2 linked regions of the Caenorhabditis elegans genome follow. The protein of the gene in region 1 interacts with the protein of each later gene in a pairwise test. Each region holds a gene or a part of one and is shown in the gene's direction. Other genes may lie near its edges.

Region 1 (2,817 bases):
TTAAAATTGTATTGATTTTTTATTCAGATTCGCAAATATCAACTAAATTTTTATAATTCCAAACAATCATAAAAACACTTAACAAAATACATCAAAAAATTAAGCGGGCCGAACCGGGGATCGATCCCGGGACCTCTCGCACCCTAAGCGAGAATCATACCACTAGACCATCCGGCCACGTTTCGAGCTGATATGTATTGTAGTTTTCCTGAAATAACCATATGCATAATACATCAAAAGCATATAACCATTCGCTACAAGGAAAAAAGTAAGTGGGCCGGACCGGGGATCGATCCCGGGACCTCTCGCACCCTAAGCGAGAATCATACCACTAGACCATCCGGCCACGTCTCGTCGTGAACGCCTCTTCCTACACATGCACGCTCTCGTGAATAGCGCTCTGCGTGTGGTCGACTAGTCACAAACCAATAAACAAGTCTATCTGCGTCTCTACTAAACAAGAAAACTCTGAACGCAGTAAGCATTGACCTTGAAAATGCAGAGTATGACTTTTTCGAAAGTTTTGGTTAGGAATAGGATTTCTAACAATCAAAATTGCTAATCGTGAGAAATTGTTTTAATATAATTCAAATTACTTTTCATAATTATTATAATTTTCACAAATTGTTAAACTCGTAGAAGATGATGTAAATATGAATGTATTCCGCGATCAAATACATTAATAATACATAAAAAAATATTCAAAGCCTTTTCTTACAATTCCCCATAATTTTACTGAATGTGTCTCACGATTCGATCAAAATACAAGTTTTCAAAGTTACATGCTGAAAATGCTTAAAAGAGTAAAAGGAATGGGCCGAACCGGGGATTGAACCCGGGACCTCTCGCACCCAAAGCGAGAATCATACCACTAGACCATTCGGCCACATGTTTCCAATGTCAAAATCATGTGAAGACACTAGGTGGTCAGAGAACTGATCCGCAAACATGTTCGGAATAGAACAGGTGCGAAATGCATAGGCGCAGAAAATCTTAGCTAGGAAGTGTATTGATCGGCCTTTCTGGTTTGCAAAACGGACTGAAATAGTTATTAAAATTACACGGATTCAAGAACTAATACACAATAAAATTCATTGAAGTTGAAAAACAAAATTAAATCGTAATTGAGTTTCAAAAGTCTGTTAAAATTGTAAAAGAAACTTACAGACCCAATAGGGTTGAAAGTTGTCCGGATGGCTCAGTCTGGATGGTTGTCGCGGTCAAACTTAAGGTCAGCATTTCTTACCTCCAGACTACAGCCAGTCTTTCCTGAAAAGTCGAGCGAAGCTTGGATTTAACTTACAACAAGACCGACGGAGAGCAGACTGGCTTAATTCAAGAAAAAGTTTTGAATTTTAAAATATTGCCCTGATCTTTTCCATTCTTCCTGATAATTTTTTTGACGTTTGTATTTGATTGGCATTCCAGTTTGACATTTCGATATTATTCCTATTATAAATTCAAATGAATGTAATCTTCCTTCCCATTGAATCATCCAGAAGGTCATGTCCATGATCTATCCTCATGACTCATGGATTGCAAAGAAAGTTTCAAAATATACACTGAAAACGCCCTCGTTTCTTTTTTGTTCATTCGTTTCCATATACGTCATTGTTTGCTCTTCTCTATGGAAAAACGAGAAACTTCTTCTGACAATGCAAACTGATAACCGTATCACATTGTGAAACCTTCTCGTTTTTGAGGCAATAGGCGGATCGCAAACTAACAACTCACAATCGATCGTTTTTCAACCTTTCTGTTTGATTTTTTTCCCTTTTAAACCCCTCAACTTACACTTTTTCTTCAGATGTACGGCCGTCGCACGTGCAGTTCTTCCTCCTCAAGTTCTTCCTCTAGTGACGGTTCTTATCGTTCCCCAGTTGGCTTCGGTGTTACTCCAATTATGCCTCTTCCATATGGAGCCCCTCCACCACCAGTTGGCGCCGGAGTTGGATATGCTCCACCGCCACCAAGACCTTACGGAGCCACATATGCACCCCCACCACCTATGGGAATCGGTGCTGGAGTGAATCCTAGTGGATATGTCCAACAAGCCCCACCACTCCCAACCCAAGGATACTCGGCGTACAACCAACAACCACCTCCACTTCCACAGCAACCCTATCAAACTAACATGTATCCAAGCAACCCAGGATACTCAAGCACACCAGGCTATCCACAACAGCAGCCATATCAAATTGGAACCGGAGCCACGCCAGCCGGTATGTACCCACCACCACCAACAGGGCAATATCCTCCACCTCCACCCGGACAGTATCCAGGATATCCAAGACCATATTGAGTTAATATGTAAGCTTTTGTATACCTTTTGTACTACTAATCAATTTAATATACCATGTTTTTTCTTGCTGTTTGAATTGCCAAATAAATGTTAAAACTGTTCAATGTTCTTTTCAAAAATTTTAAGAAATACTCCAACAACTATTGGTTGGTTTGAGTGTCAGTGGCACGTGGAAATGTTTGAAAATTACCTTTAGAATAATTTTACTTGATTTGTCTATTTATGCATTCAACATTTATTGTTAACTTTCATAAATCCTATTGTTCCAATAGATGCAATATTGGACACATAATCAACTTGTCTAAATTAGTTCTGATTGTGGTTTGATATAACAGTTCGATACTATAGGTCTAGGAAATATTCGATTCGATGTCACAATATTAAACATAAATCTTCAAGTGATTTCTGTGAAAATCAAATGAATTCTATGATCTCCAGTAAGTCGGACGCTAATTCAACGAGTATTATTTGATTATTACTGGAACCCATCAAAGCAACTCTGGAACCCATTAAGA
Region 2 (4,908 bases), on another chromosome or scaffold:
CTTCTTGTACCTACTGGAATATTATTGGTATATGCTGAAAGAGCTTAAAATTTACTACAAAGTTTCTGAAAGACATTTCAAAAAAAGTTACTTTCAAAAGATTTATGAATTTTCAAAGTTTGGAAAATTCATCTATTTTTGCCTATAAATGGTAGTTTTCATTAAATAATAAAATACGCACTAAAAGGTAGGGCTGAAAATGTACTATTTCTGTAACTACGTGAAGCTTCTTGTACCTACTGGAATATTATTGGTATATGCTGAAAGACCTTAAAATTTACTACTCAGATAAACCGAACCACGCAGGCACCGCTCCAAACCACGCAGGCAACGCGTACAAACCACGCTCAAGAATGCCAGTCCCTGCGTGGTTTCAACGCGTTGCCTGCGTGGTTTGGAGGCGACACCTGCGTGGTCTTGCAGCAATGGCAGTTCGCAGCCCGCTCCTTCCCCTTCCTACCGTTTAACCATCTAAAACGCAAAGTACGAAAATCTCAAAAATAACAACAAAAAAAGGTGGGAAACAAAATTAAGTCCATTAGGCAGTTGTTTTCGTCCCAGTGATCAGTGTGATGGTGTGTCCTTTTCCTGGCTCATCTTTTTCCGTGCGTTCAAGCTGCAATATTATTGATTTTTGGAAATACAAATTGATAGAAGGGTGTTTACCATTTTTGATCCACCTGTCGGGAGAAAACATCGCCAAAATCCGCACTCGGGAACTGTCCTTCGAATCCGGCTACAACATGTAGAATATTGTGAAGAACGCCTGAAAATTTTTGTTTAAAAAAAAATTGGACAAGAATAGCTTACTGATAGGACAATTGAGAAGTCTTCCTTGAAGAATCTGATGATTCACCGAATTTGGGTGGACACTGAAGGTGTGGAGGAGCTCTGGAGGAATTGTCTGAAAAGTGAACTATTTTAACTACATCTGGATTTGGAGAATTTGTGCAGCTGCCAAACTTCTGTTCACCTTTGACTTGGAATTTTCCGCGATTTTCCTAAGCTCTTTGAAATCCCAGTCCATAGTTCGAACGAACGATTCCGAAGGTTTTTTCTGAAATTTTGTTGCTATATATTTTTTAAAAATAAAGTTTATCTTACGTTGAAGCGACCAATCGAATGCGGCGCCTCCAGTCCATTGCCACGCCGCTTTCGGCCTCCTTTTGGGGTTTTTCGGGCCGGGGTTGACATATTTACCTGAAAACAATTATTGAGTTTCATGAAGAAATTGAAAATTAATATAAAAGTGCTTTTTGCAAGAAAAAAAACGGAAAATTCCATTAAATTAGGAAAAAAAAATAGAAGAAAAAGTTGTCCAAGAGGAGTACGCAGCCATTGGCCTAGGAATCCCGCGCGTGGCTGAACGTTGGCTGCCTGCATGGTATGTAGGCGTCACCTGCGTGGTTTTGCAGCCACTGCCAATAGCTGCCCACCGTCAAGTCGCCTGCGTGGTTCCTAGGCGTCACCTGCGTGCTTTTGGTTGCCTGCGTGGTCTTGACGCGTTGACTGCGTGGTGGGCAGTCACCTGCGTGGTTTGGAGCGGTGCCTGCGTGGTTCGATTTATCTGAGTACTCTAACTTGGGCATTTATTTGAATTATATTTGAAGTATATTCGGAAATTTTTCTTTTTTTGAACATTGAAACACATTGAAATAAAATAAAATAAAGTTTGCCAGAAATTTCAATTCCAGTAATTTGTTGATTTGCCTGAAAGCTAATATATATCGAAATGTATACATTACCCGTAATCAAAACATTTTGAAGTAACAGTATTCTGTTATTCTATCCGTTTTCTCTTCACTTTTCTCTCCCGATCAACTCACTCAATGTGCCCTCTTCCTACATTACACTTTTACGCACTCTAACACTCTCTGAGCCGATAGTTTTATTCAATCGAAATGTTCGCTTATTCAACGTCTTCAATTACCGGATCAACTCTTTCAGTTAGATCGTTTTCCAGTGACACGACAATTTCCAATGCGTTTTTCAATTTGCCTCAGGTAAAGTTGTTGCAAAATATATTGATTTATTGTTATTTCTACTTTTAACCAATGTTTTTCAATTTAAAAAATTTTGAATTGAGCATATTAGCGCTGATTTTTGTTTTTTTTTAATTTAATATTTGAAAATAGCCTGTCAATTTATAAAAAATCTATGCTTTATATTTATTAAAGATATTAGCCAGACGGGAAATTTTGCAATTTTTATGTGTTTTGCGCGAAAAATACGGTAGTTCTTGGTCTCAAAACGACAATTTTTCGTTGCATGGAAACGGGTGCTCTCCTTTAAAGAGTACTGTAATTCTAAACTTTTGTCGCTGCGGCATTTTATTCGACTTTTCATTGTTTTTCTTAAAATTTATGTGTTTTAATTGTTTTACTTCAGTTTTTTACAAAATAAAAACAGCCTTTTTTAACGAAGAACTATGAAAAAACGATGAAAACCCTGCAACAACGAAAGTTCGAAATTACAGTACTCTTTAAAGGCGCGCCCTGGTTTGAATATAACAAAAAAAAAGTCGTGTCGAGACCAGGAACCGTATTTTTGGCGCAAAAATCGCAAAATGTTGGGTATGAGTATAAAATAAAACACCGTGACCACTGGCTTGAGCCACGTGTACGGTATTTAGCTGAAAAGTTTCGATCGTGTCAGGACTCAAGACTGTTCTTTTGGGGGAAAACCCGAAATTTTCGTGGGCAGCTGGTACTCTTCTTTCTGGATTTAATCCGGATTTTGACAGAAAATGTTTTCTCGACGATTTTATTGAAAATTTCCATCTGTTTCCCAAACTTTCTCCAATTTTTTTGAAATTCTTGAATTCAGTATAATTATTATTCAGTTGAATATGCAAATTTTGTTATTAAAACAATTGAAATATTTGTTTTATTCACTTTTTGAGCAGATCTTTTTTTCAGAGCAATTTCCGTCAACGTCTGCAAGCGAAAAAACGAAGTCCGAAAAGAGTCAGCAAGCGCGCTCCATTGAGAACGCATCCTCCAATTCCACGACAGGTTTTTCCACTTTTCTCTTCTTTTTTTCCCGTTTTTTTTCATTTATTTTATGTTAAAATTCAGAAAATAAAGAAAAATATTTAGAAATAAATAAATTAAATTAAAAAATGCATTTAATTATCATTTATATTCGCTCAACAACACGACAATCCCATTTTCCGCTCACTGCCACGTGTAGCTTTGCAGATGTCGCTGTTTCGGAACTTTTTTGGCGGCGGACAGCAAGATGAAGACGAGGATAATGGAGCTGAATATGTAGAAACACTTGTGGAACGAGCAGAAACTTGTACGGCACCAGAAGACCGTCGAGATGCGTTGAGAGGGCTGAAAGGTGTCGCAAAGGTGAGAGAAAAAATCATTTGAACTATTAAAATTAAACAATTAAAATTAAACGTGTAATTTCAGAAATATCGATTAGCCGTCGGAACAATGGGAATGAATGCATTCATTGACGTGCTTGAAACAGATCGCATGAACACCGAAGCCATGACAATTGTGCTCGACACGATGGCAATCGTTTTGTCAACAGACGACGATTCTTCAGAATCCGATGAATTAGGAGAACGATTAGCCGAAGTGATGATTAAACGAAAAGGCTTCATTTCTTCAGTTTTATGCGCCGTTGAACAATTCGATATTGGAGTTCGAAGGTTTTTATTCCGAAATTAACGAGAAAAAAATCAAGATGCTTTAAAAAATTCACTAATTTCAGCTAAAATCTCCAATTTCGTCAACTTATCGGTGTCACAACAACCGCAAATTAATTTTCTTTTTAATTTATCCGTATTTTCTCCGATTGAGATACATTTTCAGGCCAAAGGCACTGAATAAGGGGCCTATCGACTGAAAATTCCTCAAAAAACGGCAAAATATGATTATAATTGAATTAAATCGATTTCCGGCTGTTGCGAGACAATCTTCGAAATTAAAAACACCTGATGTTAGGCAAAATCCCCAATTTTGCTCCTTTTTTTGCGTTACAACAGTATAAATACAGTCTTTATTGCATTTTTTTTTTGGTTTGGTATCCGATTTTTTATTATCTTTGGTGTTTGCTTTTAATAACGAAATAACGTGAGATCAAATAAAATATGAAAATTCGATAAAAACTGCATTGCAGCAGTCCTAACGCGGAAAAATTGATAAAATTGGAGATTTTAACTGAAATTAGCCCGTTTTTCAGAAATTTTGAGAATTATATCTTCAAAATTAGTGTATTTTGGCGCATTTTTAATTTTTACGAGCAAAAATTCCCCCGAATCCTCCTTTAAGGAAGATTTCGGACGATTTTGAACGTATACCCCCAAAAATGGGCTCAAATAATCGAACTTCGTATTGAAACTGCTCGAAAATGTTTGAAAAACTTTTTATGGCGGTTCAAAATTTCGAAAAAATACACTGATTTTAGCTAAAATCTCGAATTTTGGCCTTTTCTCCGTGTCGCAGCGGTTCGAAGTTGACTTTTTTGGAATTCTCGTCCTTTATTGAATATTTTGGTACTTTATCTCATATTATTTCGTTTGTTAAAGTACATTTAAAGACGATAGGTAACCGTTTTTTATGATTTTTGGCTACTTATAGGCTTTAAATGTACTTTAATAAACGAAATTAAATGATATAAACTACCAAAATATGCAAAAAAAGGATGACAATTCCAAAAAAGTCAATTTCGGACAGCTGGAACACGGAAAAATGGCCGAAGTTCGAGCATTTAGCTAAAATCAGTGTAATTATATAATATTTCGAAATTTTGAACCGGCATAAAAAATACAAAATTTTGAAAATTTCTTGAGCAGTTCTATTACGAAATTCGTCCATTTGAGCTCATTTTTGAGTCTTTACGAGCAAAAACCCCCCGAATCCTTCTATAAATTATTTCAAAAATCTGTATTTT

What was found. Proteins that work in one complex are often made in the same cells at the same time.
Region 2: the proteins of C16B8.3 (region 1) and uso-1 interact in a two-hybrid assay, tested with the Caenorhabditis elegans proteins (2 studies listed by BioGRID).

The regions. Positions count from the first base shown.
Region 1 is NC_003284.9:3,967,625-3,970,441, reverse strand, and holds C16B8.3 (Annexin A7), read left to right. Parts: upstream 1-1,807; coding exon 1,808-2,302; downstream 2,303-2,817.
Region 2 is NC_003282.8:13,451,792-13,456,699, reverse strand, and holds the start of uso-1 (Uso1_p115_head domain-containing protein), read left to right. Parts: upstream 1-1,901; coding exon 1,902-2,003; intron 2,004-2,918; coding exon 2,919-3,014; intron 3,015-3,200; coding exon 3,201-3,356; intron 3,357-3,419; coding exon 3,420-3,664; intron 3,665-4,908. Other genes in the region: Y38H8A.7 (uncharacterized protein), read right to left, coding at 565-616, 667-766, 811-904, 974-1,057, 1,105-1,194.